Linked DNA regions of Coturnix japonica. The protein of the gene in region 2 purifies or fractionates together with the protein of the main gene of each other region. This does not show direct contact. Links are inferred from orthologs where the notes say so. Each region holds a gene or a part of one and is shown on either strand. Other genes may lie near its edges.

The links.
Region 1: the proteins of KAT7 (region 2) and ING4 purify together in Homo sapiens (affinity purification with western blotting; 6 studies listed by BioGRID and IntAct, with this or other methods). This does not show direct contact. The link is inferred for Coturnix japonica from reciprocal best matches to the Homo sapiens genes KAT7 and ING4.
Region 3: the proteins of KAT7 (region 2) and BRPF3 purify together in Homo sapiens (affinity purification with mass spectrometry; 3 studies listed by BioGRID and IntAct, counting the BioPlex papers as one, with this or other methods). This does not show direct contact. The link is inferred for Coturnix japonica from reciprocal best matches to the Homo sapiens genes KAT7 and BRPF3.

What each region holds. Positions count from the first base shown.
Region 1 is NC_029516.1:69,399,047-69,402,677, reverse strand, and holds the end of ING4 (inhibitor of growth protein 4), read left to right. Parts: coding exon 1-56; intron 57-240; coding exon 241-407; intron 408-583; coding exon 584-698; intron 699-1,003; coding exon 1,004-1,112; intron 1,113-1,429; coding exon 1,430-1,577; intron 1,578-1,953; coding exon 1,954-2,015; intron 2,016-2,243; coding exon 2,244-2,283; 3' UTR 2,284-3,114; downstream 3,115-3,631.
Region 2 is NC_029542.1:2,704,868-2,708,513, reverse strand, and holds part of KAT7 (histone acetyltransferase KAT7), read left to right. Parts: coding exon 1-199; intron 200-749; coding exon 750-832; intron 833-1,053; coding exon 1,054-1,143; intron 1,144-1,835; coding exon 1,836-1,934; intron 1,935-2,062; coding exon 2,063-2,173; intron 2,174-2,908; coding exon 2,909-3,100; intron 3,101-3,410; coding exon 3,411-3,500; intron 3,501-3,646. UniProt on the Homo sapiens protein: Catalytic subunit of histone acetyltransferase HBO1 complexes, which specifically mediate acetylation of histone H3 at 'Lys-14' (H3K14ac), thereby regulating various processes, such as gene transcription, protein ubiquitination, immune regulation, stem cell pluripotent and self-renewal maintenance and embryonic development.
Region 3 is NC_029541.1:568,784-573,042, reverse strand, and holds the start of BRPF3 (bromodomain and PHD finger-containing protein 3), read right to left. Parts: upstream 2,855-4,259; 5' UTR 2,737-2,854; coding exon 2,695-2,736; intron 1,760-2,694; coding exon 354-1,759; intron 1-353. UniProt on the Homo sapiens protein: Scaffold subunit of various histone acetyltransferase (HAT) complexes, such as the MOZ/MORF and HBO1 complexes, which have a histone H3 acetyltransferase activity.

The DNA.
Region 1 (3,631 bases), on a different chromosome or scaffold from region 2:
TTTTGAACTGCAGAGAAACTTCCAGCTTATGCGAGATCTGGATCAGAGAACAGAAGGTGAGGATTAGAGATGGTTTCTGTGATGGGAAAGGAATTGTGCAGCCTGGATGGCTTTTCTTCCTTTGCTTTCATCACTGGGACCTCGGGGAAAAGCAGGAAACCTGCAGTTTTCTTAACAGAAGGCACTATAGTGCCTATGTATGTACATGTATTTATGTGTTCAATGGTCAACTTGTTTCAGACCTCAAATCGGAGATTGATAAGTTGGCCACGGAGTATATCAGCAATGCACGGACTTTGTCGTCAGAGGAAAAACTGGGGCTTCTCAAGCAAATCCAGGAGGCCTACGGGAAATGCAAAGAATTTGGGGATGACAAGGTTCAGCTGGCTATGCAGACCTATGAGATGGTATGAAGGGAAGTGTCTAGTGATTGTTTCATGAAAGGCTGTGCTGAAGACCCTGATCTCTCTCTTTCAACCCTCACCCACTCTTGCTTTCCCTCTCTTAGAGCAAGCCCTGTACCCTGTCCTCTTTGCTGTCTTGGGCTCTGTTCTGTGGTAACTCCTGATCACTGTCTTTGCAGGTTGATAAGCACATCCGACGGCTGGACACAGATCTTGCTCGCTTTGAAGCAGACCTGAAGGAGAAGCAGATAGAATCGAGTGACTATGACAGTTCTTCCAGCAAGGGCAAGAAGAGTGAGTACCACCACTGGGCTGCAGATTGATACAGGAGGCAGCCAAGTGACTGTGGAAGTGGTGGGGATGAAGGCAGGCACTGAAGTGGTACAGACTGTTACGCTGGAATCTGAAGGACAGGTAAAAAGATGGTGACCAGGGCTCTTCTTGTGTGAGCGTATTCAAGGCCACTAGATAAAATTAAGCTGAAGTGCGTGGCCCAGAGTTCTGAAGTAGGAGTGCATTTTGGTGCTGAAGAGGTTGTTACTGTCGGGTGTCTATTTTGACAGGATGGGATATGCAATAACTTTTTCTCTTGTTGCCAGAGGGCCGAGCCCAAAAAGAGAAGAAAGCTGCACGTGCACGCTCTAAAGGGAAGAATTCTGATGAAGAGGCACCAAAGACTGCCCAAAAGAAATTAAAGCTTGTCCGCACGTAAGCATTTAAGACGCTTGGGGGAATGAGGAGCAGCACTACAAATCAGACTAAGAGAGACTTAGCCAGGCTTCCCTATGAAGAGTTTAATCCCCACCCAGACCAGATGTTGTATATTTCTCCCTGGAAAGAAAGGAGGGAGACCTTTTAGTTTTTTTCAAGGGATTGTGGTGTGAAGGGGAAGACAGATCACTCTAGTGGATGTGGATGTATGTACTTAAAAAGGAGGAGTGGCAGTCTCTGGCAAGCAAGGGCATTGTAATGGGAGATATGATGCTAGTTGATTTACTGACCTGATTTATTTCTCTTTCCTGTAGTAGCACAGAATATGGGATGCCTTCAGTCACATTTGGAAATGTGCACCCTTCAGATGTATTGGATATGCCTGTGGACCCCAATGAGCCTACTTACTGCCTCTGCCACCAGGTCTCCTATGGGGAGATGATTGGCTGCGACAACCCAGATGTAAGAGCCTGTAGTTGATGGATGTGGGGGAGAAGGGAATGGAGAGTCTTGTGCTGCTTGGGTGGGGCCTGATATAGAGGCAGTGACAGTAGCAGGGCTCAGCTGGGAAGAGCAGTGGACTGGCCGGTTAAGTGCAGTTTTCTTTGGGGTTTTCCCTAATACGACTGATATTTTCTTTGCCCTGTACTCAGCAAGGGAGAATTCTGCTTATGAACAACGTGTAGGTTGGGTGTGAGACTGTTTCCCAGCAGATCCCATTAGGGTTGCTACTAGTGATTTCAGAATTCGTGATTAAGCATTGGGAAGTTTCAGCAGACCATAAACAATGATTTCAAGAGAGAACTGCTTTTTAACTGAGTGCTCTCCACCTCAACAGTGCTCCATCGAATGGTTTCATTTTGCCTGTGTGGGTCTGACAACAAAACCAAGAGGAAAATGGTGAGTGAGTGATTAAAACAAACGTTCTGGAGGGCCCATTGGTCTCTGGAAAGAGGAGGTCGTGGGTGACAGAAAATAAGAGATAAATAAATAAAGGAGAAAATAAGACTTTTTCAGAAGGAAAATTTGAATTAAGACTTTGATATCGTGGAAAAGATCCTTTGAAACTGTGATTTCAGTGTTTGTATCAGATCATAAATGCTGGCTTTTTGCTTTCCTTTCTACCAGGTTCTGCCCTCGCTGTTCCCAGGAGAGGAAGAAGAAGTAAAATCCCATGAGCCTTGAATACTGCTGCAGGAGCTCTCTTCCCCCTGCCAGGGCCTCGTCCCAGCTCCCCCAGCCCTTGGGACCTTGGCTAGGGGGAGTCTTGCCCTGTTTGTGGTTTGGGCCATCCCTGGAATGGTGTGTACCCTTGCGGCAGTTCCAGTGTGTCCTGTATCCCTGGCTGCTTCCAAATCCTTAAGGGAGGCCCTCTCTGTGTACTATTCCAAACAGGTCTCTGAACCTCAAAGGGAGTGAATGAGGGCACCAGGGTAGCCACCAGATTCCCAGGGATTCAGGTAGCCCCTGATTTTCCTTGGCTTTCCTTCAGCCTCCTCAGAGTTCATTGCCTACTCTCTGCTGAGAGAACAAGGCTATGGGATGGGGGAAGGAAAGGAGGTAAGTCTTCAGCATTTTAGGTCTTCTATTTTCCTGGATCTTTTTCAGGAGAGAGGGAGTAACCAGGCCACTGCTTAATCTAGTAGCTTGGTTGAGAGACTGAAAACTTTAACGTACTCCCTATCTTTAATCATTCCACTACTTTGTCTGGCATTGAGCAGCCTCTTTTATTGGGGCAAGGAGGAAGAAGGAGAGTTTAGAGCTAGCTTTCTCTCTTACTCCTGGGGTAAACCTGCTGGCCTGGGAAGCACACTGTATGAAGGAAGAAGAATTTCTGGCCATGTGGTGAGAAACGGTTTGATTTAGCCTGTCTTCTGGCTCCAGAATTCTCCCTCCCTTTAGTACAGTGGGGCTTCTCCATTATGTTGATGATGGAAAGCTGAGGGATCCAAAATCCCACTTGTATACTATAGAATTAAATAAAATTCATTCAAACAAATGCTCAGTTTTGTCTTGCTGTCACCTCCAAAGTAAGTAATTGGTCTCTTTCTTAGATCTTTCTCAGCTCAGCTTTTCCACTGATGAATGCAGCACAGCTTTTTTCATGTAATAATACTGAACGTTCTGCCAAGGTCATCCTTTAAAATACATCCAATACACTCGGTCAAAGAATTTCTAAGCTTTCCAGTGTCTGTGGAAAACATCTGCCTCCTTAGTCCCATCCCCACAAATGACAAGATGCTTATTCTCATTTTTGTTGTTTTTTCATCTGTAATCTCTTAAATGAGTGAGGAAGAACAGAGATGACCAGCCCTCGCTATGGCTGTCGGGCAGTACAACTAAGAAAATAAGCCATCGGCACAAAGCTTTTGCATCCAAGAATGTGGACAAGTTTTTTTAGATATCCTGTTAACTTGTTCCCCAGTGAGTCACCTTCACCTTGTACCACTTTGCTGCCAGAAACTCCAGGTACTGTTAATAAAGTAGTGCTGTAATGTTGGCAAGTGAGGAGATGT
Region 2 (3,646 bases):
ACCCCCACCGGGAATGCCCCTTCCTCAGAGTCTGATATTGATATCTCCAGTCCAAATGTATCCCATGATGAGAGCATTGCCAAGGACATGTCCATGAAGGATTCTGGAAGTGACCTGTCTCACCGCCCTAAGCGCCGCCGCTTCCATGAAAGCTACAATTTCAACATGAAATGTCCCACTCCTGGTTGTAACTCTTTAGGTAATTTCAGTTCCAGGATTGATTTGTTGACTTTTTTTGCCTTCCTGTGGTGATATTAAGCCCCCCCCTCCGTTGATTTATACAACGTAACGATAGGGAGCTGCTTAGAATCAGAAACAGTACTGAGAATTGGGTATAGAGAAGAGTTACGGAGCATATCCACAGCTCTATCTTTATTGTCTAGAGGTGTTTGGGGGACGATGGGATAAAGAGCAAGTTAGGAGAGTAAGCACAGGTGTGGGAGGAGAATGCAGAGCCTTGTAGGTGAGGGTATTGATCTCAGCCAAAAGCAGGTTCTCAGCAACAGATGAATGCAGTCATCTAATGTACCTGACTGCCTGCATGGAGCGCAGCTTTTGAGTTAATGTGAAAGGGATTTTCCTTCTTTGTTCTTATAGCTTGTGCCACGAAGCATGAAATGTTTTCCTCCTACCACACTGTTAACAAATTGAGTTATTCTCTTGAGAAGCTCGTATGCAGTATCTGACCATCTGGGCTGCATTTAATGATCATATGCTGAAAGCTTTCTCTTTTTCCTGATCCTTTACAGGACACCTAACTGGAAAACACGAGCGACACTTCTCCATATCAGGATGCCCACTGTATCACAACCTGTCAGCAGATGAGTGCAAGGTAATGAAGTCTTCTGTTTTATCTCCCTTATGCTTTTATAGGGCGGAGTGCCAAGACTTGTTGTTTGTGCATAGGAAATAGTGTGATCCAGCTGATATCCTTAGCTATAAGACAGCAGCATTTGTCAAATAATTTATGTTACACCTAAACAGACAAAGGGACAAGATGGAAGCTGTGACAGTAGTTTGCTGCAGTGTTGATGGTGGAGTTTTGACTTCCAGGTGCGAGCACAAAGCCGGGATAAACAGATTGAGGAGAGAATGCTGGCCCATCGGCAGGATGACAACAACAGGCACGCCACCAGGCACCAGGTGGGCAGTCTTCATGTAGTGGAGTGGCTGCTCTGTTAAGAGTAGGAAAAAACTCAGCTTAGGTTTCTAGTGACAGTGACTTTAACTCGATCTCCCTTCTTTACCACTTAGTTAAGCTATCGTGTTAAGTCCTGTGGCTCTCTTTTGCAATCTCAAATTTGTTTCAGCAAGGAAAATTCATTTTCTCCTTCGGTAAGAGCCTGGAGCAGCTGGTGAGAGCCAAGAGGAGGCTTTGAGCAGTAGTATTACAGAAGAGGCTGGAGTTGTTCTCACAATGGTCTTTTCCGTGTGCTTTCAGCTTTTCAGCTGAATTTCTGCAGACCCATATGCCACCATTCTACTCTGCATAGTTCCATCAGGGGAATTATGTTTCTCAATTCAAATGAGTCCTGATTGAGAGTCAGGGTGAGCTGATGAGTCAGCAGTGAGCTTTTCCACGTGATTAAGCAGTGCATAAGGATTGCACCCTGTCTTGTGGGACTGAGGTGTGTTGACAAAGGCAAGCTACATAAAGGAGAAAAAATTGTGTTATACCTTAAGTGATTTTTTATGCATGCAGGATTCGGTTTGGAGGCAACAAATGTGATAAAAAATAGAAGGCAGCACAGAGCTCCTTCAGGGTGAAAAGATGTAGGTGAATATTTGAAGTGCATGAAGCCTAATGAAGCTTTCTGACTCTGTTTCTTTTTCAGGCACCAACAGAGAGACAGCTTCGATACAAAGAGAAAGTAGCTGAGCTCAGGAAGAAGAGGAATTCAGGACTAAGCAAGGAACAAAAAGAAAAATACATGGTAAAAGCAGCAATTCTTTCATTCCTTTGTATCTGGAATGAAACATTCTTGGTTAAAAGAGGTGCAAAATTCAACAGCCTGGTTGGAGTGTGTCAATAAAATCTCCTTTTTATGTTTTCTTGCTCTAGGAACACAGGCAAACTTATGGCAATACTAGGGAACCTCTCCTTGAGAACCTGACTAGTGAGTATGACCTCGAGCTTTTCCGAAGAGCACAAGCACGGGCATCTGAGGACCTGGTGAGTCTTCTAGCTCACAGTTGTTCAGAAATGTGAATGGTTTTTGGGTTTTGTTGCACCTGAGCAGGTAGAATCTACTGTAAGATTAGCACCCACAGCCCAGCCGAGTCAGCACAGTTAGAGTAGGTGTGATGCTGAAATCACTCAGTGGGTTTACTGAAAGTATAAATGGACCTGAACATCTGCAGAGACAAATGCCGCAGTGCCTTGGATGAGGAATAATTAGTAACAGCCTCACTTAATAGGTGTATCTTTTCAGTAAGGGAATGGACAGCTTCACCCATGGAAACAGCAGCAAAGGAATGATTAGAAATGAAAGACAGAAGTCTTGGCAGTAATTGGTGACTGAATGAGGTTAAAATCCTTATATTGTGGCTGAGGCTTCTGTAGGTGCTCTTCAAAGCTACTTCCCATCTCCAGAAATGAAGCAAAAGATTCTTTGATGCTCACCAGTGACAGTGGTATCTGGGATGTCTCAAGGCTGAGAGTTGGGCTGTATCTCTTCCTGCAGATGAGGGCAGAAGTGTTTAAAGATGTTTTCTAAGTCATTCTTCCACCACTAGCTAGTGCTTGCGAGCTGGGCTCAGGCTTAGTTTACTTGAGGGGTTTGTGGGATATGTCATTAGGTCACAGACTTAAAGTGAAGGATCTCCTTGAGGGAAAGAAATACAGCCCCTTCCTCTCAGCATCCCTTTAAGGCATATGTTAATAGCTGTTAATGGATTTCATTCATAGGAAAAGCTGCGGCTCCAGGGCCAGATCACAGAAGGCAGCAATATGATTAAAACTATCGCTTTTGGCCGCTATGAACTGGACACCTGGTATCATTCTCCATACCCAGAGGAGTATGCTCGTCTGGGACGTCTCTACATGTGTGAGTTCTGTCTCAAGTACATGAAGAGCCAGACAATACTGCGCAGACACATGGTAAGGGCTGGGAAAGGTCTTTGATTCCTGAGCTTCAAATCAGGCATGAGCATGCAGATGGTTTTTAAGCATTATTACTGCTGTCAGTTCAGTTGTTCACTTTGAGAGGTGAGAAGATTCTGGGTCATTGTAAAAGAAAGTTTTCCTAGGCTTGATTTCTGGTCTGTTCAGTGGGTTACAGAGGATCAGAAATGAGATCTTAACTTAAATTAAACAAGCTTGCGTGTCTCCTGGTGTATCCAGCAGCTGTTGTAACCTCTTCTACCTTTAAAAACAGTAGTGTCACCCTAATTTTGTTTACTTCTCATAGGCAAAATGTGTTTGGAAACATCCACCAGGTGATGAAATCTACCGCAAAGGCTCCATTTCAGTGTTTGAAGTCGATGGGAAAAAGAACAAGGTAATTAATTGTATTAATAGGCCTAGCATTGCTTTTCCTGTAGAGAAACAGGATGCAAATGGCTCTTTCTCTCTCTAATGGTGGAAAGGCTACTGCAGGCTGGTCTGTGCATTCTTGCAATTCTGACGTTTGTTTTGTCTGCATTC
Region 3 (4,259 bases), on a different chromosome or scaffold from region 2:
AGGAGGATGACTCCCATTCACCTGCCAACCTGTAATGCCTGATGTATTTTAAAAACACCTTCACAGCCATCTATGTAAATTTGGATGCTAGCTGCATGTTTGCCTGTTAGGTACCACGAAAGATCTGTACTACATAACATTTTGGGGTTGTTGCTTGGCAAAGCAGGGAAACCAGTGCACAACTGGCATGCACATGGAAGAATGTTGGTGAGGAATGTTCCTGCAGAGCACAATCTGAACACAGTTACTGCTAGGTCTGGGCTAAAGAGGGTGCTTCCAAGTTCAACAACGAAAGGGATCGAGTCCATAGAACAGACCCTGTTCATCTTCTGCTGTCCAGCTCCAACACTCACCTGTAAGATGGAATTTGTGCAACTGCCACCATGGGCATAGATGAACGCCCATCAGTCCCCTCACTAGGTTCCTTTTTGATCTTCTGCTTCAATTTCACTTTGTTCTTCTTTAGGGATGCTTGGGGAGGACCAGAATTGCCTTCTTCCTCCCTCTCCTCCTTCACAATGCCCTCCTGCCTCTCACTGGTAGCAGCTGAATGCCCTTTTTTCACTGTTCCAGGTGGGGAATGGCTCTCGCAATAGGCAGTCTTGCGCACAGTGAATGTTGTGCCATTGATGCTGGTCTCCCTCATGGGTTCAATCTTCATGAAGAGACCAGCCCGCTGGGCACAGGTGACATGGAAGGCAGTATAACAGTTCACTTTGTGGCATTGGATAGCAGCTCCCATGCCCTTCTGCTTGCAGATATAGCATGTGAGCTTCCACCGAGCTGGGGGAATGTTATTTATCCCTTCAATGGGCTCCAGGAACACAGTGTTTGCAAAGCAGACCTCTGGAATCCAAATGGCACAAACCACATGAGCCCAGCGGCCATCACTGGTCTGCTTGAAGGCTCCACCTTTGTTTGGGCAGAGTACACAATCAACAGGGCGAGAAGGGGACTGTAAGCAGCAGCGGCAAAGCCACTGCCCCTCAGGAATATAGGGCACCCCGTAACACTCCTGGTGCACAGCCAGGTTGCACATATCACAGAACAAGATGACGTTGCTGTTGTGACACTCATCATCCATGCAAACACAGCAGAATGCATCCTCATCAATGACAGACTGCTGAGTCCCGTTGTTTCGGCTCTCAAGGTACGACTCCTTTTCCAAGCGGTCCACCAGCAGCTCAAAAGTCTCAGCAGAAATAATCCCATAACCATCATCCCTTCTCTTCTCATTCACCATTTCCAGCCATGCCAGATCCTCCTCATCCATGTCATACTCCACCTCTGCATCAAGGTCCTCGGGAGGCTTCTCAATGTACCGGTAGTAGGCAGCAGGGAGAGGGGGGGCCTCTGGCTGTTTCAGGGAGTCCACCACACGGAACTTCGGCTGGGGTAAGTGTAAAGATGTTCCTGATGTGTGTTTGGAGCAGGATTCCTTCTTCTTGCCTTTGGAAGGTGCTTTCTTGGATTTTGAAGGGAAAAGGGGCTGCTCGCTGTTTTCCTTATTGCTGTTGCATTCTGTGATGTCCTGGGCAGTCAGTTCATCCTCTGTGATGATTTTTAAGGGATCGTAGATGCCAATGCGGTGAAGCCGCCCATCTATGTCTACTTCCACAATGCGCTGGGCCTGAGCGTACGTCAGCATGTCCCGAGTGGGTGAGCACTTCAGGCTGTAGGGTGATGGAGAATGCCGGCCCTCCAGATTCTGCCGTGACCTCCTCCGAGGCTTCCTCATCGCTGTGGTGCACCAGAGACGCTGCAACAAACCGGGACCAGCATGAGCAAAGGAGACAAGCTAACAGGAGCAGCACAGATTGAAAAACCCACACAGCATCACAATAGAAAAACATTTCAACTAAGGGCCTCAGCAATTTCAGGCTCAGAGGTTACTTCACCTTAAATACAAGCAAGTACTGGATGTATCAATCATTTCTGTAGTACATATCTGAGCAAGGCACAGCACGCTCCAAATCTCTCTGCTTGCAAACCAGGAAATGTTTCCCATACCAACAGATGAGAAGAGTTGAAATGGGTTTTAGAGAATGGCATCTAAATGCTCTGCTGTGCACTCAGACCAACAAACCATCCAGATCCTCAGAAACGCAGACATTACTAATAAACCCGCTTGAACCGTTCAGTACTTAGTTCACACAGGCCAAGGAGTTCTCTCTGTTCTTTTGCCTGCAAGTTCCCAGCAGTATACATAATGTGCTGAATATTAGGTCTGGTTTTCCAGGCCTAAAGGAAAGCACTCTTCCTGCCCCACAAAAGCAGTTCCCCCTGCCCACCATTTTGTGTGTTTTTTTTTTTTTAGCTGAGCTCTATGTGAGAATGTATACCAGCACTGCTCTGAGGTTCAGAAGGAAGTTCACCCACATCTCCCATCCCACTGCAACACTTCTTCCTTCACCCACATAGTGAAAGAGTTTCATGGTGAAAAACTATCTACCAGTTTTGCCTTCCTTTCTCCTGCAAGCTGGTTTCTCACACCATCCTGCAGACAGAACATGCACTGAGCTAACCCATGTCCTCCACATCATGCAAAATGGATTACAAAAGTCTATGAAGAACCAGAGGATGAACTGAACAATGGGTGCTAGCTGCGCAACCCTTCTTCTCTTGGGTAGGATCTACAAAGAAGTAAAATGGAACAAGTATGGGAACGAGCAATATGGATCCAGAAGGACTTACAAGTTCTGTCTCAGCATCAGCTCTTCTGAAGCCACGATCCATGTACAGGCCCCTGAGCTGGTTCCGCTTGCAAGATCCACAGGGGTACAAGTAGGAAAGCAGCAGGACACTGTCTAGACCAAGCTGTACTGTGAACTATGCAATGGTGCTCAAACAGAGCCTTAACTAAAAGCCCAAGACAGCTCTGCCCTCACAAACTGCTAATCAGCAACAAAGATAATCATTTGAGAGTCAGCTCCAGCCATTAAGGAGGTGCCCAACAAGGAGGGGTGGAGATGAGCTGGCAAGAGGAGCTGGAGAAGAATGGAAAGGCAGCAGCAGGATCCCAAAGATCTGAGGGCAAAAGAGGGAAAGTAGAGAGGAAGCCAAGTGAGTAATGCGAGGGAGAAGGGCAGTCAGGGATAAGAGTGCAGAGCCCAGGCAGAGGAACAAAACAGGCCAAAGAAAGAGGGAGACGAGAAAAAGAAAAGCAAATGTAAAATCTCCCCAAGAAGATAAGTCAGCCTGGAGCTTATCTGTTGCTATGCAGGGGCCTGAACCAGCAACTCACCCTAAGTTAGAGTACAGCACTTTCAGCCCCTTTCTGTAGGACCTGCAGACAAACAAAGCATTTGAATTTAGCTGTCACGTTATTTTTTTGCTCCATGACGGACTTAACTTCACAAAACCTCAAGTGAATCAAAGCAAGCAGCACCTCGTGGATCAGTGCCTGCAAGAATTCATGAAGTTATTCCAGAACGGAGTAACGGATTTCTGGAAAAACACTCTTCTCCTGAAAGCACTGCCCTGTTAACCAGGAGTCTGCCTGATCAGCTTGGTCAACCAATGGAAAACCAAGGAAACCCTGCTGACATATGGCTCAGGTACAACCTAAGGCAGACTGGTTTAATTGAAGAAGACACTGGATGCAAGACGTTATATGAACATAATTATTGTGGAGGATAAAGCAATCAGAATGACCTGACCACAGCCATTATTAATATTGTGTTCAAGAAAAACAAGACTTTAGCTGATGGCTGGCAGTGCTGAATGATGAGAAAATTTCAGCCAAGCAAGCACTCCAAGGAAGGGTTATTTTACCTGCTGACATGACAAACAAGAACAGGATGTTATTGTAGTAGCTTTTGAGAAACAGTCGGTTTACTGTCTGGAGAAATTACCCCAAGTGGGCTTTTTACCACAGCAACTGGCTGCTATAAACCAACCCATTTGTAAAACACACAATTACTTAACACTACATAGAAGCATCTAAAACGGCACTGAAATTGCTGCCAGCCAACACTCAGCGCCTGGGATAAGAATTCCAGCTCATTTCTAAAAGGCATCTGGATAATAGGAGAGATACAATCACCCACCTCCGAAAAGCTTTGAAAGCAGAAATGAAACAAACTCAGCCATGCCAAGATGGAACACTGTGACCTTGCCTGCAACACAGCAACTTCTAAGTAATCTAGGAATGTTACCATCTTCTCAGTACACTTGACAACACTTCACCAGCCACATATAAAACATTATCCCTGTGTGAACAGCATCTGTGCATGCTGAAATGCTAAACTGCCTTGACT